3 linked regions of the Caenorhabditis elegans genome follow. The protein of the gene in region 2 purifies or fractionates together with the protein of the main gene of each other region. This does not show direct contact. Each region holds a gene or a part of one and is shown on either strand. Other genes may lie near its edges. The genes, in order: rab-14, galt-1 and R04E5.9.

The links.
Region 1: the proteins of galt-1 (region 2) and rab-14 fractionate together in Caenorhabditis elegans (co-fractionation; one large-scale study listed by BioGRID). This does not show direct contact.
Region 3: the proteins of galt-1 (region 2) and R04E5.9 fractionate together in Caenorhabditis elegans (co-fractionation; one large-scale study listed by BioGRID). This does not show direct contact.

The regions. Positions count from the first base shown.
Region 1 is NC_003284.9:15,601,292-15,610,406, reverse strand, and holds rab-14 (Ras-related protein Rab-14), read left to right. Parts: upstream 1-3,771; 5' UTR 3,772-3,790; coding exon 3,791-3,896; intron 3,897-4,042; coding exon 4,043-4,287; intron 4,288-4,779; coding exon 4,780-4,898; intron 4,899-4,961; coding exon 4,962-5,124; 3' UTR 5,125-5,772; downstream 5,773-9,115. Other genes in the region: Protein nipi-3, read right to left, coding at 188-843, 895-1,075, 1,123-1,474, 1,604-1,800, 1,854-2,435; ent-2 (Equilibrative nucleoside transporter 3), read right to left, coding at 7,083-7,397, 7,442-7,527, 7,577-8,089, 8,176-8,270, 8,677-8,843.
Region 2 is NC_003283.11:5,927,062-5,936,625, reverse strand, and holds galt-1 (Beta-1,4-galactosyltransferase galt-1), read right to left. Parts: upstream 5,722-9,564; 5' UTR 5,703-5,721; coding exon 5,578-5,702; intron 5,252-5,577; coding exon 4,906-5,251; intron 4,864-4,905; coding exon 4,708-4,863; intron 4,611-4,707; coding exon 4,501-4,610; intron 4,452-4,500; coding exon 4,372-4,451; intron 4,154-4,371; exon of another isoform or gene 4,057-4,153; intron 4,032-4,056; coding exon 3,863-4,031; intron 3,817-3,862; coding exon 3,714-3,816; intron 3,452-3,713; coding exon 3,263-3,451; 3' UTR 3,191-3,262; downstream 1-3,190. Other genes in the region: M03F8.5 (Glycosyltransferase family 92 protein), read left to right, coding at 1-115, 177-368, 422-736, 1,338-1,780, 1,826-1,916; srsx-17 (G-protein coupled receptors family 1 profile domain-containing protein), read right to left, coding at 6,209-6,373, 6,580-6,776, 6,824-6,928, 7,081-7,214, 8,263-8,391, 8,439-8,517, 8,847-8,979. UniProt on the Caenorhabditis elegans protein: Catalyzes the transfer of beta-galactose from UDP-galactose to position 4 of alpha-1,6-linked fucose at the reducing end GlcNAc in N-glycan cores.
Region 3 is NC_003284.9:8,804,131-8,815,631, reverse strand, and holds R04E5.9 (uncharacterized protein), read left to right. Parts: upstream 1-4,489; 5' UTR 4,490-4,638; coding exon 4,639-4,643; intron 4,644-4,699; coding exon 4,700-4,795; intron 4,796-4,843; coding exon 4,844-5,059; intron 5,060-8,461; coding exon 8,462-8,539; intron 8,540-8,591; coding exon 8,592-8,711; intron 8,712-8,759; coding exon 8,760-8,763; 3' UTR 8,764-8,974; downstream 8,975-11,501. Other genes in the region: Metal transporter cnnm-2, read right to left, coding at 1-155, 433-678, 726-836, 879-959, 1,005-1,103, 1,156-1,243, 1,589-1,710, 1,763-1,854 and 6 more; R04E5.8 (JmjC domain-containing protein), read left to right, coding at 9,527-10,174, 10,277-10,330, 10,379-10,440, 10,487-10,635, 10,814-11,501.

The sequences.
Region 1 (9,115 bases), on a different chromosome or scaffold from region 2:
GATAAATAAAACACCCATAGAGGTAGTTTGTCGACCTTGAATTACATTACAGATTTTCTAAAATATTCGGAATTTTGAAAGTTGGTAGAATAAGAATTTCTGACGAGTTAATTACAAGGATGCGAGAGAACATACAGAAAGTTGGAAAGTACATAAAGAAAGCTAGCTATCTATTTACATGTTCTATTTAGGAGGGCGATATGTCAAGTCCCTTGAACACCGGAGGTGGATATGATTTCGGAACGGTCCCTTTCATAACAGTTGGAAACGCCAGCGAATTGGCGTCGGACAGAAGCTTGTAGACGACTTTATCAACTGGCTGCTGGCTTGGGTGATAATGTTCGCTAATTGGGTAAATGTCACCGGGAAGCAGTAGCTCTTTCGATATATCACTGCATTTCAGTTGGACCAGTCTTGGAGCACGATGTTGCTTTTGGGCTTGGCTTACTTCCTTCTCGAAGAATAGTTGGTTGATCTGTTGCAGGCGAACTTGCATCACTAATGTTTGATATTCAGTTGGTTTCGTTTCAATTCGACGTTTCATCTGCTCTTGAATTGAGCGAAAATCTCTCTTTGCCATTTCGGTGAGAATTGTTGAATCATTTCTGCAAGCCTTCATTTCTTCATACATTGGGAGTACGTTTTTCGGAAGAAGTCGATCTTTATAGGTGTTGTAGTACATCTCGAACAGGTCCATCTTCACAATCATATCCTGTTTCTTCAGGATTATGTTGGAACGACATCTAATTTCCGGGAAATCTCCATTCACTTGATTCCACAGATCTTCGAGATTCATTCGGGTTGCTGGTGCTTTTTTTAGCAGCATGTTCACAATGTTTCTACCTAAAATAGGCGCGGAGTTTAAACCATTTCAATTTTTTCACTTTGACCTACTTTTGGAGGATATAAAATTAAACGGCCAGCGATGTTGTTTGAATTTGATGGTACGGAACAACAGTGGCATACTATTCTCATGGAATGGATACTTTCCAGTTAGCAATATGTACAGTAAGACACCAAGTCCCCAAAGCTCGGTGCTATAGCTATGATGTGTTCTCGACTCGGCAGTGAGCATCTGAAATTTTATGTTTTTTAATGTGGAACAATATTTGAACTGCAAACCTCCGGAGCCATGAATGGAACGCAAACTGATCTACGAGTAAATTGCGCTTCGGACTGATCTTCCTCACAGCTCATGTCTTGAAGGAAGCACGGACGAACAACCCATTTGTTATGTGCATCTTTCTTTAGGTAGAAGCTTCTAGGCTTGAAGTTTTGGAGAATCACTTTTCTCGAATGACAAAATCGAACAATCTCCACAACCTTTTGGTAGATACTCATCACGTCGTTTTCAGTTATTTCATCAAGACGCTCGGTGGCGTAGGAGTGAATTGTAGCCGATTCGCACGGATTCATAAGAATGTATCTGTCGTTACTCTTGATAATTTCCATTCTCTTTGATATGCAGAGTTCGCTGAATTATTCAAAGATTGTATCAACTTTCTGACTTTATGACGTCAGCGTCCCGATTCTGACTTTTACTTTTTAAATGATTTCATAATCCCCCCTTTGTTTCATCATATGAGCATTTTTTTTGACTCACCTTAAACGGATTTCATCAGCGGTCATGGATGAGATGTCGGTGGGGATTTGAAGTCGTCGAATGACGTCAATCACTTTCGACGCTTTCCATTCAGGAAGCACGTGAGCGGTAAACATTTCGCGAGTTTGTGAGCAAACAGCGCGAGTAACAAGACCAGTTCCATAAATGACAAAGATTCCGATAATTTCACCGTTAACCTTAACATTGATTCTTTTGAATGAGAAGATTTCAAATTTTAATTTCAACTCACCAAGTGTTGGGCACTATATGGGTTCACATGTGGTGCGGAGCTGGATGTAGCTGAAAACTGCTTCGACTTCTCCTCTTCCTCGAGTTCCTGGATCAAACGCAAGTACTCATTCTCATTCAACATTGTTGGTATGCGTTGTTCTGCTGGATGATCTCCATTGTTATATAGATCCGCAGCCGGAACCATAGATCCACGTGTCAGTTGCACGTAGTGATCATTCAACGCTTTGATGATGTGCGGGGGTAGACGACCCAGTGGACGAAGTTCAAGTGTTTTTGCAGGTCCGATTGAAGAATAGCAGATTGGAAGCGTCGTGCCAAAATTCTTTGGATCAATCTTCGGAGCATTGCGAACTCTATAGTGGTACTCTGCTTTGACATTTGGGAAGACGACATTCTTCTTGGCTAGAACATCGTAAAACACCCTTGGACGACTTGAGGTATTTCCAACAAAAGGAAGAGTTGTGGGCCTCCTTCTTGAAACGGCATCCTGACGAACTGGTTCAGAAAGATCTTTTGCGGTTTTTCTGACTCCAGTTCTAGGATTGGCTACGGTTTTGGTTTTGCATTTTGTACGAGCCATACCCTGAAAAACAAAAAAAATAATGTTTAGGGAACATTGTTACAAAAGGAGAAGAAGCAAATGAGATAAAGTTGGTAGACTACAGACAAGAAAATGCAAAGAATGATAACCCTAGAATTGGTAAGAATGAAGGGGTGTTATTGCGAAACATTACTGGCTGCGAGGGTTTCACAATGAATTTTCCGTTTTTTTTTTTTTTAATATTTCGCAATACTACATTGTAGATGACTAGAGGGAGGACCGCCCTTCTTCACATATCACAGAAACGACGAGAGGAATCGGAAGAGAGCGCGTGGCGATGAGAGAAGCTCGTGCATCAGCAGGTATTGCGAAATATCATCGCGGCACTACGATCAACACAAGTGTCAGAGAAGGAAACTACGGGGACCGAAACGAGAGATAGAGAATGAGTGGGTAGATGGTCGAATAGTGATAAAATCAAATGTCTCGAGAACTGTAAGACTGTTCACAAACGAGTTGTAACCGATTAGGGGAGCCATGGTTGGAAATTGAAGTCATAATTTGCAATTTGATTAGGCTATTAAGCATATTTAATATTATAGTATTTTACTCTGTTCTGAAGATGAATTTGAAGAGCAAAACAAGAAGCAGGAGGAAATAATTGTTTTTTCCATGTCTTAGGCATCTACGTATATGAAAAAGAAAAAGCATGATCTCTTTGGAACAAGGAAAAAGATAGCTGGCTCAACACCAATGACAGATGAATAAGGAGAAAAGCTAGAGCCCACACACACGTGCGCATTCACTCGTCATTTCACTCTTCTCTCTTTTTGTCTCTCTACGTGTTTTTTTCTTCATCTCCAATCCGTCTCCTACGCGGCACATAAGGCGAGAGTCAGACAGCACAGTACAGCGCACACCGAGAGCGAGACGTTAGAGACACGCAGTAGAGACCAGTTCCGTTGCAAGCGTCGCGGTCGATAGTACGCGACGCGTCGTTTCTCAGAGAAGACAGAGATAGAGGAATGGAGGGGCCCCCGTTTTTGTCCAGTGTCTCTTTCCTCGTGATATTCCATTGCGTAGCACTCCTCGTACAACTGCTCCTCTCTCTCTCTCCGACATTGCCTCTTTTAGCTTTCTGGAGGCCAATGGATTCTCTATTGCTTTTGGACGTGGCGTTCATCTTTCTCTATCCCAACTACTTCCACATTTGTCTCTCTCTCCCCGTCGGTTTTCCCCTACTTCCAACTAATGACAACTTGGCAGTCAGTCTCTAATAGCCACTTTCTTTTGTGTGGTCTATCTATTCTCATTGCTACTTTTTTGTATCCTTTTTTCTGAAACGAATAACCAAAATATAATCCGCAACTTTCAGGTAACAAAAACACATAAAAATGACGGCTGCTCCTTACAATTATTCGTATATTTTCAAATATATTATTATTGGTGATATGGGTGTCGGAAAATCGTGTCTTCTTCATCAGTTCACAGAAAAGAAGTGTAAGTCCCGCATTCCTGGAAAATCGATATATCATGTTGTTTGTGTCAACATTAGTCATCAACAAGAGACCTGTTCCTCCGGTCAATAACCACCGTACAATCACTGCGGGCAACAAACGCAAAAACTAACTATAACTAACTTTCAGTCATGGCCGACTGCCCGCACACAATCGGCGTGGAATTCGGCACCAGGATTATTGAGGTCAGCGGACAGAAGATCAAGCTTCAAATCTGGGACACGGCGGGCCAGGAGCGATTCCGCGCTGTGACGCGATCATATTATCGTGGAGCAGCCGGAGCCTTGATGGTCTACGACATCACTCGCCGTTCTACCTACAATCATTTGAGCAGCTGGTTGGCCGACGCAAAAAGCTTGACCAATCCAAATACGGTAGGTAAAATATATACTTGGTTTATAATTTTTACTCAAAAGTAGGGTTGAAAAATATATAAAAACTCGAATTTATACTTTATAAAAGCATTCCCAAGTTCCAAAATTAAAGCGAATTTGAACTTTCAGCAAAATTTCAAAACTACATAGATGTACGCCATGTTTAGTAAATTGCAATTTATGAATTTTTGCAAGCATAACATTTATTTGCAGCTCAAAAGATCGTAGACTATAAACTGAATTTCAATCAAAATTCTCATGAATCAGATTTAAGCTGGAAAACATTCAATCTGTATGTGCTCTAAATTGTGTGTTTTATCGTTAAACTAATATCTAAAAAAAACGAGTTAAAATTGGGTTATCTAGTTTTATTTGGAGAGTTAAAAATCTACCTGTATTAGTAAGAAAACAGTATTTCGTCCACTTTGCACTGATTTAATTTTACAATAAAAATGAGATTCAAGCACCAATTCTCACAAGTTCCTTTTTCAGGCCATCTTTCTTATCGGAAACAAAGCCGACCTCGAAGATCAACGTGACGTGCCATACGAGGAAGCAAAAGCTTTCGCCGAAGAAAACGGGCTCACTTTCTTGGAGTGCAGTGCGAAGACGTAAGTTTCTTCCCCCCACCCCCCCACTGCAAATTCATCAATTTCAAATGGCTTTTTTTTCAGTGGCAGTAACGTCGAAGACGCTTTCCTCGAAACGGCCAAGCAAATCTATCAGAATATCCAAGACGGAAGTTTGGACTTGAACGCCGCCGACACTGGCGTCCAGCCAAAACAGAACTTGCCACGTGCAGCTGAAAATAATGGGAAGAAGGACTGCAACTGCTAGTTGATGTGTGCAAAGTCCCTTCTTCCCCTCAAATCATTCCCAATTGATTTTAATGTATTTTTTTAAATTATTACTTTCTAATCCGTCTATCTGTATGTGAGAGCTTGTCACCCATTATCATTAAAATGCCAGAAGAATCAACATTGGGTGGTATGGTTTCTTGTTTCCAAATTCTAGTTGCCTGTCAAAATCTAAACTTGTAATCACTATAAAACTACTCTGAAATTCAGAACTTTGTGTCACTTTTACTTACCAATTCCCAGTCTTTTTCAGTCCCCCACCCATTACTCACTATCATCATCGAACTGTGAACCGTTCATAATATAACACTTTCGCTCACCCAACCAACTGCATATTTAGTAGATTTTTTCTGTCAAAAACCGTTTTGAACATTTTTCCCCCATTCCTTGTGTGATAAGAAACATCTATATGATCCCACCCCATTAAGTGCTATAATTGTGCTTTGAAAATCAAAAAAACTAACGATTTTTGTCATTTTTGTCACTTTTCCTTATAAATAGTTCTCTGTTGTTAGTTTTATGAACCTATGATTTCAGAAAACTTTTTCAAAATTTATTTTTTTTGTTTAATCATTTTTCAGCAAAATTCAATTGTACATATAATATTTAAAAAAACTATTCATTGAAGCATGAAGTGCTCAATCTTCAAAGTTAACATCACCAGTAATAGTCAAATGTGTTTTCAAGTGTGCGTAAATTTTTCTAATGACAGAGTAATCCGTGGCTGAAATGGGATTCTAGTCACGGGTGGGCAGCAAACGATTGTTTCCGGCAAATCGGCAAATCGGCAGATTGCAGGAATTGCAGATTTCCGGCAAATCGGCTAATCGGCAAATTGCCGATTCGCCAAATTTGCTGGAAAAAAAGAAACTTGCCAAAAAATTTCTGCAAATTGTGGTTTCGCACTTATTTTTTTGGAAATTTTAGAATTCCAATTTCAAATGACAAAATTTTACGCATCCTATGAATATTCCTACATCTATTTCGAAAAGTAAGCAAATTCTATGAAAATATGTAGACAAAACGGAAAAAATTCAAAAAAAAACGGTTTTAAGAGTTTCCGTTCTATAAAAAGTCCCTCTAAAAATTTCCGGGAAATCTGATATTCGGCAAACGGCAAATCGGCAACTTGCCGAAAATGAAAATTTCAGGCAAATCGGCAACCCCGCAATTTGTCGACAATTCAATTTGCCGAAAGGCAATTGCCGCCCACCCCTGATTCTAGTTACTCACCTAAATTAGTAAACTGTCAGAAATTTGAAAATTTGCGTAAGCACATTTCGCTTCACCAGTGCAATTGAAGCGCTTAGGCATAGCCTAAACTTTCTTGTAATCTTTATGAGATCTTAATTTTTCATAGATGTTGTGAACAACAAGAATTGGAAAACGATTGAATTCTAGAAACTATGTATAATAAGCTCAAAAAACAGCACCTGGATAGGCTTACAAATTAATACCACAATCATTTATAATTACTCAAAAATAGTATTAACCAAATAATTTATAATTTTGTGGAGATCTTACATAAACTACCAAAACTTGAAAACATATATTACAGCTTTTTACAATGTTAACCTTAACAAGCATTCTTTATTCACAAAAAGGGATAGTCGTAAAAATTGCAACAGAATAAAGAAAAAAAACAACGAGATGGAGCTGCGATAATACTTGAGGAAGGAAGAGAAGAAAAACAACGAAACAACTAATAGATTGAGGTATTTGGGAAATACAAAGTGGTATTTAAAGGATAGAAAAAAGGAAAACTAATAGTAAGTGCACTTGAAATTAACGATATTAATATTTTGAAACCTTGAAGGGAAGATAATTGGGTTAGTAAAAAATAAGATACAATGCAATGTTCTTGTTATGCAAGAATTTTTGGTTAGAGCATTGATTGCGCTAATGAGGTGTCTTTAATGTTAGAAGTTTTTGAAAAATTTAGGCAGTGACGACAAACTTGATGACCATAGTGAAAATGAGACCTGAGACGATTCCTGAAATGAGGAAAAATCCAGCCATCATTCCAGCCACCTGAGCCTTTGATGGATCGACAGTCTTTGAAGTGTACATCATGGAGAGTCCTGAGAAGTATCCACTTCCGAAGCTCATCGATGCGGCCACAATGATGAAAAGCCACGTGGATTCGAAGAAGACCGGGAGTGTGCGGGTCTCAGGGAGGTAGTTGCAGAAGATGAAGAATGGGATGTAGAGGAGACGGAGGTAGACTGGGATCCAGAGCTTGTTCGGGGCGGGCTGTAATAAAGACTTAATTTCTGTCAACTTTCAGAGGCACTTACCCATTGCTTTCTCCCGGCGACGATTGATCCGATGAAGGCAAACACGTTGAATTGAAGGAATGTGGTAACATCCATGAAGTAGTTCTCTAAAATTTAATTTTTTTTTTAAATTTACCAGCTTGGTGATAAACTCACGTGGCAATGGGAAATCGTAGGTTCCTCCTTTCTTCTCATCCTTAACGTACATCATGACTCCAGGGAAGATTGAAAGCGTGACGAAAAACACCAAAAATACATTAATAAGTTGTGGGAAAGCCTCTTTGAAGGTCGCAATGTAGTTTGCCATCTTTCCTTCGTTGTCAGCTGCTTCCTCATTCTTGGCGCGTTGTCTTTCGGCACGTGTGCTGTAAAACTGGTAGAAGCGTTGCTTCTTAAGGATGTGGAACGAGATGAAGCAGAAGACCAATGTGATCAACGCAATTGAAAAGTAGGCGAATGATCTATCCAGGATGTTGCGAGTGACAGCCTTGGTTGACATACTGAGCAAGGTAACGAATGTTCCGCACAAGTTATTTCCAATGATGACAGCATTGGTGTACTTGAATGGAAGTTCAGAAGCGAGGCCGAAGATACTGTTTTGATAGACTCCATTTGCTCCGTTCAACACGATGATTGTGATGATGGTAAGAGTGAAAAATCCAGTGAGCCCTGGAAGTATGTAGATTAGTTGAAAAAAAGAAGATATCGATGTTTGATGATCTGCAAAAAAAAGTTCACGTGTCCTTATCACTCACATGTGGAGGTTTCGACGTAGATGAAGATCATAGTAGTGATCACACAGACAGCTACGATGGAGAGTCCGACAGTGATGCGGCCAGCAAGTCCTCCCCTGAAAATTGAAGATGCATATTTGGAATTTAAAAAAAAGTTTTGAATTAATTGTGACTTGTTTTTTAGACCAGCATTATGAAAGTTCGTACTGTGGCAGGATCATTTCTCAGATTTTGGAGCAATTCAATTCAAGAATTAACTTCAAAACTTTTATTGATGTTACCTTATTGACCACGCTTTCAAAAAATATTTGATCACTTTTTCTTCAGACACCCCCTTCAATAATTATACCAACTTCTCAATCTAATTCGTAGATCTTAAAGAAACCAATCGACACCTTCTCCCGCGTGTCACATTTTTTTTGTTGCGAACGCCGGCGCATCAATTCATCATTTTCTGTCGACCTCTGGCACTTATCTCGCATGCCACAAGTTGGCAGCGCTGATAAGCGACGATGACCTTACTTGACGACAATGAAGATGTTGAGAAGATTGAGAAGAAGGTTCGGCACTTGGGAAGCGATTGTTTGGAAGCTTTGGAAGTTGGATGAATAGACCGTCGGGTCTCCGGTCACTTTTCCGGTGTCCATGTCGATTGTTGAGTTGGCGAGCATTTTGTACGATTCGAAGTACTGGAAATGTTCAGAAATTAGGATTAAAATCTTATCCTATTATTTTTTGGAAGTTTAATTTATAATTCAAGTTGTTCCTTAACCACAATTCAATAACTACGTATTTGTTTTAAAAAAATGTATGTAGATTAATATGATAAAACATTTCTGTAGCTCGACTAAAGCACCAGTGGATTTGGTTCCCAATTTCTAGATTCGTAGAGCTTGAGGAGCATTTTTTCAGTCTGTCAACTATTAATTTGGTTTTAAAGTACAAATGATCAATAAGACCG
Region 2 (9,564 bases):
CAAACCAAATTTAAAACTTGAATTTCGGAACTTCTCGGAGCCCCATAGGCAGGCCCATTTATTTGACAACTACTGTAAATTTGCTTGGACAGATCCAATGGATTCAACTTTGAAGGTAGTTTTCATACTGAAGTTTTTCTATAAATTTCTAGGCAAGCCAAATAAAAATTTTTCAGAAACGATTGAAATTCCCGAAACATGCGAGCTGTGAAAAGTATAACATCGATCTTTTCAAACGATACCCAGCTACTGGAGAGTTCTCAATGAAGTTAAAAAGTTACAAAAATAACTTGGAATGTGTTGCTCAAGTGCTCAAAGGTGGACTACGGCCGGAAGCTCATACTTTTAAACTTGGAAGAACACAAAATGTACGCTTCATATTTATTTGCTTTTTTATAAATTACCGATTGTAAATTTCCAGTTCAGTCCAAAACTAAACAAGCGATTTTGGATCAATGCTGACAATTTTCTTATTACATGTTTCTCCAAACAACTAGTGATCTATCGAAAGCAATTCATGGGACTGAATATGCAAGAAAAGTTACCTCTAGTTGTGGATGGATCATTTGTAATACCTGAACCTGATTATACTTTTCACGGCGAAAAATCAACAAGATTCTCTATTTCAATTCTAGGATTAGATTCAACATCCCGAGCTCAATTCGGGAGGAATATGAAAAAGACCAGTGGCCTCTTGGATCGTCTGGGAAGTGTTGTGTTTAATGCCTATAATAAGGTTTGTGTCAATGGTATTTGAAATATAATATCTATAAAACGAAAATATTTTAAAAAAAAGTTCAATTGTGTAAGCAGTTACATATACAAACTTGTGAAACAATTTTATTAAGTTTCAAACTTTTGACTGTAGGCACAAAAATTCCCACCTACGCACTTTTTGAAGGCGATATATATATCTACGTCGGCTTAAAGATGGAGTAAGGTGAATGGGGATTTTGCTTTAAAAAAAAATAATCGGAAAATCAAAAAAAAAAATACGAAAAAAAAAGTGAAATTGAGGTTGTTTCAAAAGTCCGAACTTGATTTTTCAATTTGAAGTCACAAAAGCAAGCCAAAAGCCTTTTTTTTTTTGGATTTTTCATTCTCATTCGAGTTTTTTTCAGTTTTTTTTCGAGGTATTTCTGAATATCATACAGTTTTTGGTATTTTCTAGCAAATTCCCAAATCACGCTTCTCCTTCATCTTTTATAAAATCTGCCAAACAGAAATCGAATAACATTTTATTGATGTTTTTTCGAAATTTCACTTTCAATCAATTTCAAATTTTAAATTTTTGGCGAACGTTTTTCTCCATCCAACAAAAATATTGATTCCTCCAGGTCGGCGATAACAGCGCAGTAAACATGCTTCCCATTTTTGCCAACGAACTCCAGGAAACCGAAAGCATGTCCTTAATCGACGAGACAGGAGACGTAAATATTAACAAAATCCTACCTTCAAAAACTCCATTAAACCCGGATACAATTCAATGGATATGGAAACAGCTGCCACCAGAATACATAACAATGTACAACGACGATATTATGCACACGTCACGGGGACTTTTTCATTATCCACCTGATAATTTTCTGGGTGGATTTTCGAAACCACCTGCAAAGTTCTATTATCGTCCTTACTACAACCATTTGTACACTCAAATGAATAATTGGTGGAGAAAATGTTTGGATGGACAGTTGTTAGCGGAAGTGTTCATTGACTCGTGGTTTCGATTCGAACGAGTTTTTGGAAAACTTCCGCATTTTGGATTTACATTTATATCGAGGTTTATTTGTTCAGAAGATCTATAATGCATTTTTGAAAATTTCAGTTTGACCCATGATGACCCGAATAACCTAAATCTACTGGATAATACGTTGTATCACAGATTGGAATATTTAAATTTAATTTTCAAAAAATAATTCCGAAATTCCCTGAAATCTTTCAGAAAACAGGAAGTTTGGAAAACACAATTCTAATTATTCTTGGTGATCATGGAAATCGGGTTCATCCGCTGAATAGGTATACATTTGCTGGAAAAATAGGTAATCAATGATTTGGGAGCCGAAGAAATTGAAATATTAAATTTCAGAAGAACGAGCTCCACTTCTGAACATATTAGTTCCTCCAAGGTTTCGAAAGTTGTTTCCGGAGAAGTTTCAGAACTTGAGAGAAAATTCACAGAAATTTGTTTCGTAAGCTTTTTTGAGCCAATCTGGTAAATCTGACGTCCGGTTTTTAAAAGGGCATTTTTCATGTCGCTTTTCAGATTTTATTAACTGTGAGAAAACTGTGTCCAGTTATATTAATTAACAAGGCAAAAATCTTGGGTACTGTCAAAAAAATTATTGAAAGAACTATGTAACACCAAAAAAAAAAGAACTGGATTGCCCAAAACCTGAAAAAACCGGACACCGGTAGAGTCCGAGTTTCTGAAATTTGCTACTAATAACTTTTTTTTCAGAAACTTTCACTTACACTCAACGTTGAAATTTCTCATTAGCCTTTCCAAAAACTTGGATAGTTCGAAAAGAAGCAAGAACCTTTTTGAAGTTCAACCAACTAATGCTACATGTCAAGATAATGGTGTAATCAGTAATCATTGTCTTTGTATGGTTGATGCTTCTCAAGATATCCGAAGTAAGAACTGTGGAATTACTTTTAAACAAATTAGTTTTCAGAGCTTCCAAATTCTGAATTACTCCAAGATGTATTGAAATCTTATATGGATGATTTCAAAGATTGTTTTGATATAACTACAATCAAATGTGGAAACGTGGTATGTATGTAGTAATTTGTCTTACAATTAGGCATTCTTAATAGGCGGATGAGACGCGCCTTATCACGCCTCGGCCTGTCGAATGTCTAACAAGCTTTAAAAAATGAATTTAAAAGAATTTCAGACGGAAATGATAATGCCAAACAATTATGTCCAAGTGTGGGCTAGAACAAAAATCAGTGATAGCGAAGTAATACGAAAAAAGGAAAAAGGAAGTGCTGTTATCTACCCATACCTCGAATGTCAGTTAGAATCCAAAAATGGAGATTCTGTAGAACTGTTATCACAATTTCGTCTAATTCAAGCCACTCAAGAAGTAACAATTGCCTACCCTCCACGACTCAAAACCACTTCTCCGAGCCAATGCGGGCATTTCTCATTTTCAACGGATTATTGTAAATGTGTCGATCTCCAGCTAGCGGTGTAACAATATTTATGCATTATAGATTTGAGAATTTGACTAATAAATAATATAAATTAACAAATGAGCTACAAGTCTAAAAGACCAACAACTGAATCGAATTTTTCCCGAAGTTGATCTCCATGCCGTTTTTTCAAGAGGCTCTCGTCTTCGCAACAATACTTTTTATCCTTGTAATGATAAACCCGTAGAAGGGATCCGCCATGGGAAACCGTTTTATAGTTGTCTTGAATCACTCTACTCGTATGATGAATACCCTGTAAAAATAATTTTCTTACAAAATTTAAAGTACACAGAAAACTTCAATATGTGTCACAATTTTTTTAATCCAAGATATGCCCAAGGAGGTTAACTGTTTCTAGACGATTAAGTCCAACGCTAGTTTGAAGTTGAAACAGAGTTTTGTAAAATAAGTTGAACTAGAATATTTAATGTCTGGCAAGAGTTGGGCAAAAAAAAGGCAAAATCAAAAATCGATTGTTTGATCTGTACCGGGGTTTTCAAGTATTATAATCTCACCTGTTCAAAAACCATTTCCGGTCGAACTACACATTTCGTGAATCTTGTTTCAATTCGTTTTTCGGAAACAATATTTTTCAGTGAATACGGAGCGCTCTTGATTCTGAAAACGTTTCAAAAATTAATCACCTAGAGAACTAAAAACTTACTTTGCATTTATATACTTCAAAGCTGTTCGTTGCGATCCAATAGTGGGATCTTCAAAAAGCCCACTGATTGTTTCAAAGAGAGTCCGACTTTTGATAACGGGGACGAAGAACTCATCAAAATCATTGAAAAATGTGTATTTTGTGATTCCAGTGTTTCTCAGTAAACAATCTGAAAACTGCTTGAGTGTTTAAAGGTTGTGTGTGTGTGTGTGTGTGTGTGTGTGTGTGTGTGTGTGTGTGTGTGTGTGTGTGTGTGTGTGTGTGTGTGTGTGTGTGTGTGTGTGTGTGTGTCAACAATGATTCTTACAGCTAGAGCCAGAAAAAAATTTCGAGTGATAACAAGAGTTAAGAGAAACTAATTTGGCATTTTGTAAATGTTGATGAGTTTGTTAAGTGGGAGAAAATTTCCTTGAAAAGGCTATATTCCATTTTCGGTACTTTAGATTCGGTTAAGCGTCTGGCTCATCAATAGTTCTATTAAAACATTTCAGTTGGGAAAGTAAATTTACCAGTAACAGTTGCCAATTGCCCGTGATACCAAACACCATCCTCTCTGAATGGTAATGTGTAATCAATTAATGTTATTTTGCTGCAAGATAATTGAATCAAAAATCAAATTTTTCTAAAATCAAACTCACTGATTATCCGAATAGTATTTCAACGTTTTCTTCATGGATCCATCAAGCTCTTTTTGATTAGTGTAAATGTATATTTTCTCGATTCCTTGCAAAGTATTCAGCTCAATAAACTGTAAAATTAGTTTATTATTAATACTTTGTCAAAATTTTTTTTGCTGTATGTGTGGGTCACTACAAAAGTCCTGGCAAAGTTTTCGCAATAATCACCTCAACAATTCGCTTTGCATCATATCCATTTCCAAACAATGCTGGAACACAAATTGACATTTTATAGTCATATTCGTCTGGCGTAATTATTTTCTCATCTTGAATTCTATACCGAATCGGCACATCAACAAACTGCTTGGTTGTGCTTCTTATGACCTGAAAATCAAAGTTATCAAAATATTCCTTTTATTTTTTCACCTTTACAGAGCTAACATTATTGAAATCTATACCATCGGGTAGTTTACAATTCAAAATAAACATTTGCCACTTCATTTTGTGATTTTCCGAGAACTCGTAAAGTGATACATCTGTGGACTTTCTCCCGTTTATTTCACAGGAAAAGTTGTCTTGTGACGTGATAAACATCAGGACTCGGACATATTTGTACCCCATATTTCCATTTCGATCGTCTGTGTAGGCCGAGAATGCAAAAGCATGCTCATCAAGTTTCAGGAATTGTAGACGGTTTTGTGAGGGATCCGGTACCTCGTCAAGTAATCGACGTACATTTTTTATATCCGACTCTATCGATGCAACGTTTTCACTGCAAATTTATATAATAATTGAAATTTGAAAATGTGAGATGGATCATAAAATATGCAACATCTGAAGTTGTGACTTCCCTAATCAATCACTTGTTCGCAATCAGCGTTTGCATCAGGAAGACAATTTCCCTTGGTCTTTATTTAAGTATCATGTAACATCACTTTATAGTTTTCGCGTTAAAAATTAAAACTACAAATTTTAGGCTGAATTTTCATTGAGAACATTATTATTTTAAAAATGTTTCCTTTACACGAAAATTAGGGGATAACTGAGAAAGTAGATTTTTAGACAGTTTGACAATAACGATAAGTTATAACTACTTACTATTCATTTCCATATTCATCGTACTCCTTACTGCTTCTCGTTGCTATTGGAAAGTGATAAATAACAGTAATACAAAATGATAATGCAATTAGAAGAACTATTTTACTGGCGGTGATTCGAGGCATTCAGAAGTACTCAAGGACAGAATGTATAGTGCTATCAGAGCACTTTGTTATCAGTAACAATGGTATACACGATGGTTCCCGTCATACCAAATGTGGGAAATTACATAATTCAAATTAGTTCCACGAAATATTCATTGATTTTTCATCTACATAGATGGTGAAATGTTGATACTATTCACGTTTGATACTATTGTTTACTTTGAATGTTATAAACTCTAAGAGTGTCGTTTACAAACATTCAAGCAATGTTGCATTTTGCAAATGTATTTTGAACCTCTTATCAAGCCAATGTGTCATTTTGATCACAAACTTTACAATAAATTTTATAGATTGCATCAAAAACCGTGGTCTTTTCATACTTTTCTGGCTCCATTTCTAATTAAATAGTGTTTCAAATTTTATGCCCAATTTTATTCCATAACAGATCACAGTGAAAAAACAATAAAAACATATTATATCAGAATTAATAAAAAAAAAACAAAATAAATTGGAACGCAAAAATTTTTTCAAACAAATGCAGATTTTACAGAAGAATTCTGCCGGAACTGGGAGACCCGTTGACTGACAAAAGGAAGAAATGAGAGTTGTTCTGCATAGGCTTTAGCGTATCGTGGAGATCGAAGACCGGTTACAAAAAAGTTTTGGCAGAATGTTGGAAGGGAGAGGAGGATCTGGAAATTGTAATTTTACTTTTGATGAAATTCAAGTCAATTTTTTCGAAAAATGTTTTGAGCTATGGAAAAATCTTAGAGTTTTTTTTGGCACTTTTCATATTCAATAAAACTTTTGCTACATTAGAAAGTATGTTCTCTAAAAATTTTTCAATTTAAAAATGCACTTTATACCACCCATGGAAACTTTTTGCAAGCACACTTACATTGTACTTTTGAATTTCATACGCGACATTTTTTGTAAAATATAATGAAACGTGTGATAACAAAATGGATAAACTCCACGAGCACACAAACACAAACATCAGAGTTGACAATGACTTGAGCAATTTTGAATCTGAACATTTTGTATTGCTTGTAATACTGTTCGAGTGTCTTAGTATCCTTCGTGCTGATTCTCGTTCTGTAATGTAGAAGTATCGTTTTGAGAATATTTTCAAAAATGGATACCGTTAATATGAACTTTAAAGGCTGTTACGAAAATTAGTGAAACGGCCAGAAATATTGTTGAAATTGTGATGAGCGTACCCCAAAACCGGACTGCAGGTGGAGCAGCTAAAAAAATTATTTCTCGAAATTCCTTAAAATTCTTAAAGTAGTAAAATTAAACTAATTTTTAAAGTACCTTGTTTAGATGATCATATTTCCGTTTTTAAACAACTTGACCTAGTGCTTAAGTTGTTTCAATGCCCACTAAATCAACTAACCAAGAGTCACCGTGCAGATGAGCAAATCGTCGTGATTGATGTAGATTTCTTCTATAAAAAGAGCAAAACAGGAGAACAACATTGGCGGAATGCAGAGAGCAAACAAATATGGACCACGACGCCAGAGTTTGTGTCTGAAAATTGAAATTAAAGTGAGGAAATTAAAGTGCCAATGTGTTCGGAACCCGTGGTTTTGTGGTCTTTTGATCTTTTCGCGTTACCAACTTAAACATTGAAATATCAAATACTAGAACTAATAGTTCCTCATCAAGCACCTCTCCAGCATTCTCAAATAGAAAAATCCCTCTAAAACCAACAAATCCATCCCCTTCCGAAAAAAAAAGCTGAAAACGTCATCGCAACAACCCTTCCCACCCAATTTCTCAGAATTACACTTATTCTCCAAGATCCACACGCATTCTTCTGTTTACTGAACTGCTGGCGAGCATATCGAGTTCAAATGCACGTAGTGGAGTTGACAGAGAAGAGTATTTAAAAATTTAAAAATTCCAGGAAAAAGTAAATCATATCACAAAATGGCAATCAAAATTGTTGTGGGATGACATCACAAAACGCATTAATTTCTATTTTCAGCATGTTGATTCCAAAATCTCAAAATTTGCTATTTTTCAAAAGCATGCTTTTATTTTGTAAAAACACCACCATCAAAAGTGCACAACTTTTGAAACTATCTAGAATAGTTTGACGAGAGCATGACTTTTTGAAAACAAATCTGATTCAGTGCGCAACTCAATTGCTCGTTTCTAACTGCAAGAGAAAACTAGACGCTCCAAAATGGTCATGAACTGAACTGAATTTTGTAAGTCGGCGGCATATATGAAAAATAAAAAAGATTCTTCTACAACTAGTCTTGCAACCAATTTTTAAGTTCAGCAGCTAATATTGCGGTTTTTTGCTGTATTGTTATATTGTAAACTAACAAAAATGTTATTTCTAATTTTATATAATATTGTTAAATATTCATAGGAACCTTTGAAATGTACAAAAAACATGTCAAAATGGAATAATGGGGTGTCAAACTAGTGAAGTCACTGTCCTGGAAAAAACTAGGATTTTTTACAGTGAAAAAATTCAGATTTAGCTTGCAGAAAATCAAATAGTCTTTTTTTTGCTAAAATAGAAGCCCTCAAACTATAAATAAAAGTTGTATATAGTACTTACCGTATTGGCATAATAACTGCTAAAAAGAGATCAATTGCCATCATCAAAAACAGAGTTGATTGAAAAAGAACGGCGAACATGTAAACAATAACAGAACGAAAACATTCGTCCCGATGCGTTTGGGTGAATCTGAAAAACTACCTCTAATGAATGAAATGGAAATATATAAAGCTTACCTCAGTTTCAACTTTACACAAATAAGCTCTGAAACCAAACATATTGTATGGGCAATTGTAGATATCATGATCAGGCATCCTAAAAATCAGAGAAAAGGTACGTATTTTTTAGGATTATTTTATAATTTTTGAATGTTACGTTTCACTTCAAGGATTTCGGGATTTGTTAGTTTTGACTTTTATCTTTTATCACGTTCTTTTAAAATATCAACATTCAAAGATGGATTAGTGATTGCGAGAAATTGTTTGTGAACTCTAAAAAAAACCGATAGGAAAGCTGCAGAATATGTTCGGGAGATTTAATTTTTAAGTATCTAAAAGTAAGCTGTAGAATCCGGGAAAACGCTTAGTATTCATTTAAAAAAAATTCATAAAAATATTTTTCACACAAAATTCCTAAACTCTCACCCATTTTTGTGCGTAAAGACTTATGACGACATGTTGCTATAATTAAATTGACATTGCCAAATAGCCCGATGACACAAAGGACAACAGTGTACAACTGAAGAGCAAGTGTCAAGTCTTGATAATTGAGTGACATCTGAAAAAGATTCTAAAATAGATGAGAGGGTGAATGCGGACGTCATTTTGTATAGTATACAATTTGAAACATAATTGGCTCAATGACTTGAATATACTGAACTTTTTTGAGAAACGACGTGCGAAGATGTCCCGGAATACGAGAAAAACGAGACTGAAAATAAGCATGACGACAGAACAAGGAAAACTAAAAACAAAAAGAAGGGTGGGAAAATAATTGAGGAACGCATGTTCCAAGCTGCTTTGAAGATTGGAAATTTAATAATAATAAATGTCAATTTAAATTTAAAAAAGTCAAAAGATTAGTATAACACATCTAAAGCCGTATACAATCATGTGAGATATTTCGTATCTTGAGAGCAAATACGGCAGTTGAAAAGCGAAAAAAGAAGGATATGAAACCGTGGGAAAAACTGATAAGTGAGAAACTTATGAGATACCCGCGGTCTCAAAATTTGTATAATCGGATCCTAAGAAGCCGATCAAAATATAACTTAAATTTTTTGAAAAATGAAATTCAAAATGAAACTTTGCATGGAATCTACAAATGAATAATATTCTTCGAAACTAGGGGGTTTCTTCAGTT
Region 3 (11,501 bases), on a different chromosome or scaffold from region 2:
TCTGTCACGTAACAGTCAGTTTCATCGGTAATCTCTGCTTGAAGAAGTTCTTCTGTTATGTCTTCTAATGTGATTAATCCAACAAGTGTAACTGGATGGTCTTCTGGATTTTCTACCTGTGGCATCATGGTTGCTTCCACCAATTTCATCGATTTCTGAATTTGAATAAGGTTTACATGATAGGAAAATGGAAAAATCATTAATGACGTTTGCCTTTAACAGTTGAAATTTTAAAAAATTCGGGCAATAAACAGAAACTATAATTTATTATCTGAATGGGTTTGAGTTACTGTCCATTATCTACTACTCGAATGTGGTTTGTTTTTCTTTCTGCAATAAACAAAATACATATGTTTCAGAAAGTGTTCATAATCACTTTTTAAAACATAATCCATATTTTACCCCGAACTTTCATCTAGTACCAAAACATACCAAGATGAAGCTGTCTACTGTACCATCCGCAAACTTTCCATGGTGATGCTTCTTAACTTCCGTAGCCTTAGCCACCATTGCAAGATGATAATCTCCCAATTTGAACTCATCCATCAAAGCTGTCAATGGCATACTTTCATCTACAATTCTCAGCCGTCTCTTGTTGAATCTGGCTACTGCTTTCACTGTGATATTGTTGTCCTTCCCAATCAATGCCAAATCACTAACGTACAATAAGTTTTTCACCTAGAAGCATTAAAAATTTTAGTTAACTACATTTGAGTAACTGCAACCTTATTCCTGTTGTTTCCCTCAAAAACTGGAATTCTGGTGTACCCGGAATCAGAAATTTTTGTCATCGTTTCAGCGTTAAGAACTTGATCTTCAGACAGCATAAAAACGTCCTGAAAACTTTTCTAGAATTTTTGAGAATTATTCAAACTAACATCAATATCAGTCATAACGTCGCGTACAGACTTTTTCGTTAGTTCCATTGCTCCAATCGCTATTTTCAGAGTAGATAAATCCTTAAAAAAATAATTAAAGCATTATCCCGTTATCTTAAAACGTACAATATCACAGGCATCATTTTCCATGTTCATTTTGAGCATTTCTACCATCCTCGATCTATTCACTACATCAATGTCAACACCAGCATATTTGTCGAGAATCTGCGAAAAACTTGGTTTATTGTTTCTGGTTTCTTGTTTCTGGAATTTTTACTTTTCCAAGTGGCCACGTTATTGGGAATAAGAGAAACATGAAGAACTTGGTGATGAAAATTGTGTTAGCACCCACTGCCAATCCATACCTAAAATTTTGCAAATTTTCCATCAAACGGGACAGTAAGGGTTCTTGGATTTTAGATTTGAGATTTTTTTAGCACAATTTTCAAATTGGTAGGTAACTGAATTAGGAAAACTAGTAATTTTCTATCTGCTGGGAATGTACAAAACTTAACAAATCTTTGCGAGGCGACCAAAATCTGCAGAATAGAATGAAAATTAGTTTCCCGCAGGTAAGTTGATTAAAATCGATATAGGGATAAGTTTGAAAACCTTTTCCCGGTACATTGAACAACTTTAAATGTTTTTTTATAAATTATACTATTAAAATCAGTGGAATCATGTTTAAAAAGATGTTGGATTAATCTAACTTCACACATATGCTCTGCGGTAGAATTTCTCCAAAAACAACAATGCCAACTGTGGAAGCTACAAAAGCTATCAGACCTTCTGCCAAATCATCGAAAAGAAGTGTAATTCCAGTGTTGACAATCTTAAATTTTGAATAAAAAAAATAAGTTGACGTTAAATCTAACAAAACTCACAACATTCATAATAATAACAGTGCACAGTAACCGATTACCATGACATCTAATTGGGTAAATTGCTGCCGCATGCTTTTTCTCTCTTTGTGATCCTGCAAATTCACATAAAATTTGGTCTTTGATAAATAATAAAACAGTACCTGATTTCATCAAGATACTAAGTTCTTGCGGTGTCAAAGCCATTAGTCCCAATGTCAATCCGGAACACAGTGCTGATATGGAGAACAGTAGGCATAAAATTGCGCACTGAAATATTTTAGTTTAACGAAGGTAAGAGTTTTACAATTTTTTAATTCGAAAGCATTTGAAGGTGGACTACGGCTTATGGGGTGGCCAAAACATTTTCAAAAATATTGGTAAAAGTGATTTCTAATCAAAAAGCACTGAAAGCTCTGTTTTTATCAATTTTTTAGAAGTCGTCGGGTACTTGTGTATTATACCCCCGCCATTTTAAAAATTAATCAAATTTCCAATTAATTTATCCGTAAAAATTAAACGTGATGCCCATTTTCTTCGTAAACCTTAGGAATGGTGTTTTCCTAAGCATAAAAATACAAAAGAATTTCACAGGTTTTTAATTTATAAGTTAAAAAATTATTTTTTTAATGGCGGGGGTATAATACACAAGTACCAGTCGTCGGGAAAAAAATAATTTGCTTTGTTTTTTATTTAAATTGTGTTCAATATATTTATATACCAACATTGTAGACGTTAAAACATTTGCAACACTGATCTATAATTGAAATTTGGCATTTTAAGGAAAAATGCTAATAACCATCTCATGGTTGTTTACCTGAGCCCAAACAGGCATGAAAGTTTCATGAGTACTCTGGACAGCTTGAATCCAGGTTCTATCGTCATCGATTTGTATTAGTCCATGACACTCTGATTTTAGACAAATTCTCCATGGCTGGGGCCACCTGTAATTTACAACTAGCATTAACGAGTTCAAAATAATTGCCTTACGCTACGAAAGCATATTTAAAGACTATTTTCATATCTTTATGAATGTAGAAGGTGCTTTCTGATACATTAAACTCGGATGTCACGCAGACAGAATCAGTAAATGTCACCATTTCAACCTGAAATCAGAATGTGGAAAAGTTGGTATAGGCTGATAAATACATTTTCTAGTCCATGACCAAAAATCACAAGATCCACTTCAGTGTTTGCCTCCACCAATAACTCTCCAGCATCGCTGAAATTTTGTTACATTTTGTCGTACACCCTCGTCTGGTATTTTTTATCCCATTGTATTTAGTGCATTATCTAATTTTCTCTAATGAAGCTTTATTCTAAAGTAATGTAAACACCCAGATGAAATGCCATTATGACAATATACAAGCTTCACGTTTATGTCAAAACATGCAATTGAATTTAATTGAACAATGTAGTCCTTTCAATCAATAAAAAAGATGGCATTCCGTATGAAATACTTGTAATTACTTTAGTGCAAGTTGTACTGTGTATTAGAAGGTTCCTCATTTCTTACCCATATCCTAAAAATCCTGACGCGTCTACATCGCTTTCAATCCGAACTCCTGATACCACTGGCCGTATTTCCTGAATTTCCATCAATGTTTTTTTGTTTTCCTTTACGAAATTTCTCACCAGTTTTCCGTCTATGCATACAATGTGTGCACAGAGCAAAAGTAAACGTAGAAAAACTTTAATGATCATCAAATTAGACGTGGTATAGTGTGGTGGCGATAATGAATAAACGAGTGGTGAAAATGAAGAAAGTGCGTATCAGTAGGGGGCACTGATAACAATCTAGGTGGTTCATGTCTATGTGACATGAATGCTTGTTTTGGGGCTCTTTCAGTTTATGGGTGTCTAGAATCAAAATTTGCATGTGACAGGCTAAAGACAGGTTTCGAAGTGTTTTATCAATTTTGCATCCAGTCAGAAATTTTTGTTTAAAATATGATTCGTTTTTTCTCCAGTAATGCTTTTTGCCGGTTCATAGGAGATATCTTTTGTTTTGGGATAGGAAAGTAACTTTTTGGTTTCTCCTTTTTTTTAAAGCATAATCTATGAGTATTGGTGTTTTTTTATTTTAGTTGAACGTTCATTAATGATGTGACTACTTATTCAAAGCAAATCCAATAACTTCCACTGAAATAAAATTTCGGGATATTAAAAAAAATACAGCCTTATATTTTTTTGTAATTTTGTCACAACATTTCATGTTCATTTGGCATGACGAACAGCGAATAACTTTCATTTTTTAGACTATTTCGATCTTCCAGTTCTATCATCATTTTTGATATCCCTTATTTTCTTGATGACATTTTTGGGCAGTAGACGTGTCTACGCTGAAGGTTTGTTGTCCTATGAACGCGGGAATTGCAATTTTTTTCTTTTACGCTGAAAAAGTAATTTAAATAATGCTCTAGAAGTTTTCTCATCAATATTCGTTTGTCATGTTCGTTTAAGGAAGAAAAATTTAATGAAAAGTGCCCAGAATACATCTTCTCGGGACAAAAAATGCCAGTCCCCTACTTCATCCCGATCATTATTGTTTTCGTATCAAAAATTCATCAACCCTCACGTCAACATCTTGCTTTCATCGCCAGCTCGCCATTCTCAATTTTTCCTTTTTCTGTCCGCCTTATCTCACGTGCGCGCGCGTCCCGTCGTCCTCTCTGTTTTTTTGTAAATGTGAGTGTGTGGCAGAAAGCGAGGGTTTATAGGGCATTGGCGAGAGAGTGTGTGAAAAAGAGAGTGTGTCTTCGTTGTGTCTGAACACGCGACGCGCAGGGAGAGGGACGCAACGCGGTCGCTTCCAACTATTTTCTGTGTTCCTGCGGTGCGTGTGTGTATGTGCGTACCCTGCATCGATTTTTGGCTCGAGTAGTGGAGACGCCGAGAGTATGAAGTAGGTTTTTCCTCTAATGTTTAAATTTTCAAATTAACATTTCTTATTTCTTTCAGAGAGTTCATCAAAAAAGAAGAACCGATTTTCGAGGAGGAAGATGCGCATGTGCTGGGCGACGATGAACCAGATGGAGATCTGCCAGAACTTCCAAAGTAAGAACACCAGGAAAGTTAGCTCTTTTTTTACTTTTTTTTATTCAGAATTGCTGCTCGGCAGAGAAAATCAAAGATCGTGAGAAAACAAGGCAGGAAAACGAAAAGGAAGACTCGAAAGTCAAAGACAGGAGCAACAAAGCGAAGGAAAGGAACTAAACGACGACGGAAAACCACATCAAAATCGTTAGACAAAGGGGAAAGTATTGGAAGAGTCAAGCGATACGGGCGAGAAAAGGAACAAAAGCTTCATATTCGCCAAAAGTAAGTTTTTGAGAATTTATAAAGTAGTTTCTCAAAAAAAAAATCAGTAATGCTAGAGATAATAGAAATGTGACATTAAAAACTTGAATTATTGAACTCCAAAGCCAAATGCGTCGCATGCTCCCGAAATCATATCGGAATCAATTTTTCACTGGTTTTCTTCCAATCGCATATGAGCAGTGTCGTCCAACGTTAGGGTACGGTGATCAGATATCAGCTTTTCGAAGGGCAGTAACACGCTTGTAGTTCGGTCATTTCCTACTCGAAAAATTGTTGAGGGCTAATACATAAAGACATTATGTTCAAGCTTGCTGCACTGTGGTTCTGGTAGTCAGTCGCATTTTTCTGGCGATGCTCATACCGTGCAAGGCATTGCACTATTTGAACAGTGACGCAATCTAGTTGAAACTTGAATTTACCGACACTTCGACTTCTGAATCGGTCGTCATTCTACTATCACCCAATGTCCTGCTTCTAAAAAACTATGCTTGTTTAACAGAAGTTAATTTTATCTTCTGGTAAACGAGAAGCAGAAACCTTTCCATAACTACTGGAAATGTATCGAAGAAAACAGTTTTCCGAAAAATTATATGTGGAGGGGCTCGTACTGTTTATCGAAAGTTAATTCCAATTCAAAAGAAAAACGTTTAGCTTAGCAATGCAGCAAAGATACAACTTCCTGCACAATTTAACTTTTTGTCAAAAAGAAAACTGAAATCCTACGAAACATACATATATTCTGCAATTGACTTCAATTATATTCTTCATCGAAGTTTCACTCAAAAATTACTACATCGTGACGGCTGATTTCACGAGAAAAAGGAAAGCAGCACGAATCTATTTTCGATTGCTGTCACATGTATTTTTTGTTTTCAAATTTTTACAATCACTCAAAATACAGAAAATAAAATTACTACAGAAATTTTTATGTCTACATAATCATGTTAATCTGTAAGCATTTAAAATTCTGCTGTCAGAAGAAGCGCCACAAGAGTTTAAATATAGCTTAAAATTACGCAGTATTTTTTAATTTTGAATATGACTAATAAAATCATAGCTTAGCGTTCACATATTCTGATCGCCTACTAATTTTTCTATTTCTGTGATTCGGAGTATGATGACTTTCTGTGAACAATGTTGCATTTTTCATAACTCTCGAACTTATAGGTTTTCTGCAGATACATCCTTTTCAACATTAAAAGGTGGCCTGGAAAAATATATTTAACTGACGAATAGAAAACTTCTTTGAGGTTTATTGAGAAAAAAAAGCTCAAAGAAGGAATAACGGTTCAAGATATCTGTTTCAATATTTTAGTTTGTAGTATTACTTTGAGCTTGTTGAGAAAAAACCCAGAAATTTTCTCTCTCTTTTATTCTCTCTCTTTTTGAGCTTATTTAAATTAATTGTTAATATTTGCGGACTGTTAATAGCCAAACGATGATAAAAAATTGTTTACACCTATACGCAGTTTCAGTTTATAGCGGGCGATTGTTTTTCGCAGCACAACTCCAGTCCCTGTCTCATTACAAATTCATGAAGATAGTAGAGTTGGAACACAACCATTTATTTAACATTCGTAGGCAATCGCCTGAAATGAAATGACGTGAGCTTTAGCGCACAGAAAATTGGGAGCACGCAAATGATGAATGGTATCCATCAATCTCAAACACCGATATTTCGTGACGTTTTTCTTTTCGTGAGCCTATAATTCAATGTGACGTGGCAAGCGCTCTGAAATTATATATTACATCACTTCCGGGTTTAGGAAAATTCGAGGTCTGAATATCAGATCCTGAATTTTGAAAAAAAAAACGTAAATTTTTAAAAGTTGTTACTTGATGAATGTTGCACAAGAATTCTTCTTTAATTCTCATATAGAATTTATTAGAATAACAGAAAACCTTGCTGATAAATGCAATGTTTGGAATAAGCCAAAACATTAGCTGTCCTTCCCTGGTCTGAATGTCAAGCTCAATCTGATTGATAAAGTTCCAATTCAATTAACTAAACAACTTTTTTCAAAAAAATGTTATGATCAGATCGTATTCACAAAGTGCATCAGAAAACAGGGAATACGGGGTTCCTTGGCCTTCATTCCGAGATGACAAACTTTTTGGTGGCAAAGGTTCTTTGGGGGCAAAGTATCCAAGGAGACAAAGGATCCAGTAGACAAACTGGGGTGTGTCTTGGGGGGCATATCTTTGGTGACAACCTTTTTTTCAACTAGATTTTTATATGTATTTTTCAACTAATTTTTGTTCAAATTTTTCTGGAATAAGTTTTTTAATGCAATTTTCAATCGATTATCGGTTATAATTCCCTCACAATTGAATGTATGAACGATGGTCTTTTGGGAAAAGCTGTAAAACGTCCAACTAACTTGGAATATCGTGAGGCTCTTCCTGATGGCCTGATCCTTCAGATAAGAAGGATCGTAAGGGTACCTCCTGATGGTCTGATACTTCAGCTCCAAAGGATCACGAGGCTCTTCCTGATGTTCTGATCCTTCCGATCCGAAGGATCACATGGGTACCTTCTGATGATCTGATCCTTCAGATAAGAAGGATCGTAAGGGTACCTCCTGATGGTCTGATCCTTCAGATCCAAAGGATCATGAGGCTCTTCCTGATGTTCTGATCCTTCAGCTCCAAAAGAACATGAGGCTCTGCCTGATGTTCTGATCCTTCAGCTTCGACGGATCATATGGATTTTTGACAAAATTTGAAAAAAAATTTGAAAAAATTGACCATCAGGAGGTACCCTTACGATCCTTCTTATCTGAAGGATCAGAACATCAGAAGGTACCCATGTGATCCTTCGGAGCTGAAGGATCAGACCATCAGGAAGAGCCTCACGATATTCCAAGTTAGTTGGACGTTTTACAGCTTTTCCCAAAAGACCATCGTTCAAACATTCAATTGTGAGGGAATTATAACCGATAATCGATTGAAAATTGCATTAAAAAACTTATTCCAGAAAAATTTGAACAAAAATTAGTTGAAAAATACATATAAAAATCTAGTTGAAAAAAAGGTTGTCACCAAAGATATGCCCCCCAAGATACACCCCAGTTTGTCTACTGGATCCTTTGTCTCCTTGGATACTTTGCCCCCAAAGAACCTTTGCCACCAAAAAGTTTGTCATCTCGGAATGAAGGCCGGGTTCCTTTCTTTGATGGAAAAAGAAATTCACGAATTTTCGGCTTTTACGTCTTACCGTTTTTGAGAGCTATGTATCGTCAGTCTTCTCTTATCTACACAATTTTAATCATTAAAGCACAATTACAATACTTGCTACAGAAAAATAATTGTCGAGGGAAGCACCGATTTTTTTGTGAATCTTTATTCTAAAAGCCAAAATCATGCTTACCCCAAACATGTCATAACATTTAATTATTTCAGCGATGATGTCATTGTGGTCGATGAGGTCCCAAGTGCAGATAAAGTTCCCACTCCACCTCCTGCGCCTGCAAAGCCTACGTGAGATGCCAAATTTTTATCATGCTAAATTATAACAATAATCCCCTTTCAGGCCGTCGAACATTCTTGATCAAATCCTTTTCGCTCAGGAAAAAGTTCTTGCTCCAACTGATACCGCAAGAAAGTCGTTCACCAAAAACAAAATCCTTCCAAACGAACGACGCAGTGTTTGGTTTGCTTCTTAAGCCTTCTATTTTTAGAATGTTCCCTCGATTTTCAGGTAACTTCGAGATGATGTGAGGCGTGAAACACGACTGGTCCGCCCTCTACGCATAGTCTTTTTCATTGCACACACACACACACACACACACAAACAAAAACAGCATATATACCCTGTGCCCACGCTCATTTCCTTGAATGCACACCACGTCTTCGACGCCGTGCTGCGCCAACACGAGGCCCTGTGCCGTCGATGTTGCCGCCGTCGCCCCCCCCCCCCCCTCCTCTAATGCGACCGACTCGCGCCCATCTTGTTTTTCTTCTACTCATTTTCTCTACTCGATCGCCGCTCACACGCACACTCTTTTATTTTCCTGTCTGCGCCTCCCCTCTCTGTTCGCTCCTTTTCAGACTGCCGGTTTTGGTGAGCTGGTGAGTGCGGCGGGGCCAACGTGATCCGTGTGTAAGATGAATAGAGAGATGAGAAGGGCTCGTCGTCGCTGCACGCGGCGTGACTCGGTCAGAACTCTCGTTCTTCTCCCTTTTCACGGATCAATGGCCACGATGCGTGCGCTCACAGTGGGTATCTCATGGCAACGCATTGCTTTGCTCCGCCTTTTTTATCGACAGCAAAATTTGTCTTTCTCTCCCGTCAACTCTTCTCATCTCTTACTGATACCTACGTGTATACTTCATTGTTCCAAATACTGAATGTATTTCTTGCTCAATTTTCGAGTGTACCATTTATACTCCTTTTTTAATTTTCTCAAACTCTCTGAATGCTTTAAAATATGTACATATCATAAATAAAGTTCATTTCAGGTGAAAATGCACGGACACGACAGACCGGGCTCATCGTCCGGTGGATATTTCAACCCGCCAAGAAACAATCAATATCATTATCCAGAGAATCATCATCATCCCTACCCCGAAAACATAGCTAACTTGGTACCGCCATCAAACTTCCAGGCCATGCATTATAATCACAACTACATGGCTCATGCGGCTTCCATTGCTCACACGTACGGGGGTTATCCGCCTCCATATCCATATCAACATCCTCACCAGCCGCCGCCTGCACATCCACATCATCTTCAGCATCCACACCCCTATGCATATCCTGGATACCCTGTTCCTGGTCAGGAAGGCCACCAAGTGCCGGCACCACAACACGGTGATCATGAAGCAAGTCCACCGCCTCCTCCACCACCCAGGAAATCAAGAGCTGGGGGATCGTCGCCGCCACCCCCACCGCCACCAAGAGTTCCGCGGACACCCCCGCCAAGAAGCCCTCCACCACGGAGACCACCGATGACTCCACCATCACCGCAACGCAGACCACCGAGAACTCCTCCGTCTCCGGAGCCACGGAATCCGCCGAGGACTCCTCCGTCGCCTATTCCACCACCACCACCACGTCTAAACAGTCACGATCGGAGAGCATTGAGAGCACGTCGTCCAATGGTTCATCGTCCGGTAGGTTCTCTTTTTGATATCATTGAGTTTTCGTAACTGAAATTTGAGAACATTATATAAACAATTTTTCCAGTTTACTGGTTTAACAAAATATTTTTTCAGGCTCCTTACGGTCGCCGCTCCATAAGTCAGGGACCTGGAAGAAATAACGACGACGTAAGTTAAACGGTTATGAATTCTAGTTACAAACTTACAATTTTTCAGTGGGGAAGTCGCGAGTACGGAAAATATGCCGAGCGTCTTGCAAGCACAGAGCTGAAAAAGCTGTAGGTTTTACAATGAAGGAGTAGAAAGGATATATGGATTTTGCAGGCATCTCGAACGAGAAGATTACAAGCAAGTTTTGCGAGTAGTTGCAAATGCAGCAAAAACCTTCCGATTTGATGATTTTGAAGTTCGGTCTCATCTGCTATCCGGATACCGTTTCTACATGAATGGAGAAGATGCAAACGGCACAAAGCGTGAGTTAATAACTTGATGTTCCTTTGACTAGGCTGCAATTTTCTCTGACTAATTGAGCAGCAAAATTGTTTATTTTGTTAAGTATGATACCCAGAATAGTTTTATTTAAAAAAAGACTCATCTTCTATGTATCAAAACTTCTATCTTTATATCATTTTATGAAATTATTTATTTCAGAGTTCTCCATCCCACATAATATGGATCGGCCACCAGCCCCTCGTTACTGGATCATTGATAATGAAGTTCGAAGCAATCCACCATCGCCAGTTTTCCGTCCAGAAGCTTCGTTAAGTCCATCGGTCAATGTTGACTACGGAGAGGGGTCATCGAACCAAGCTGCACAAATGTTTGAGCCGGGAGAAGACCAAACTGCGTTCTATCGAAGACTTTTGGCTGGGTTCGCTGCACAAGGACGGACATTTGGACAGCGAGAAGGAGAGATTCCAGCCATATACGGAGCCGACGGTCTTTTGACAGAATGGGGATACGAGCTGCATCTCTTAAACCAAGCTCGACAATTAGAATCGAAGCCTCCATTGGTTCATTATGAGGAGGTTGGATTTGATCGTAAAGACGACGACGAAACGTATGAGCCCTATCAGGGCGGCCAAGCTCAGCCAGACGGATCTCCAAGTGAGTACAGCCCAAATCATGTTCGCCGTGGACCAAAAACTCCACCAGAGAGAGAAGAATCTGTGGAGTTTTCTCCGGGCCATATTCCAGTCGGCCCAAAAACACCACCAATGCCCGATGAGAGTCTCGAAGACGATAAGAGATCACCAATAATGGATGGTAATCAATTCGAGGAGATGGAACTGTATCCAATGGACCCAGAACAAGAGGTTTCGATGAATTTTGTTCCTGT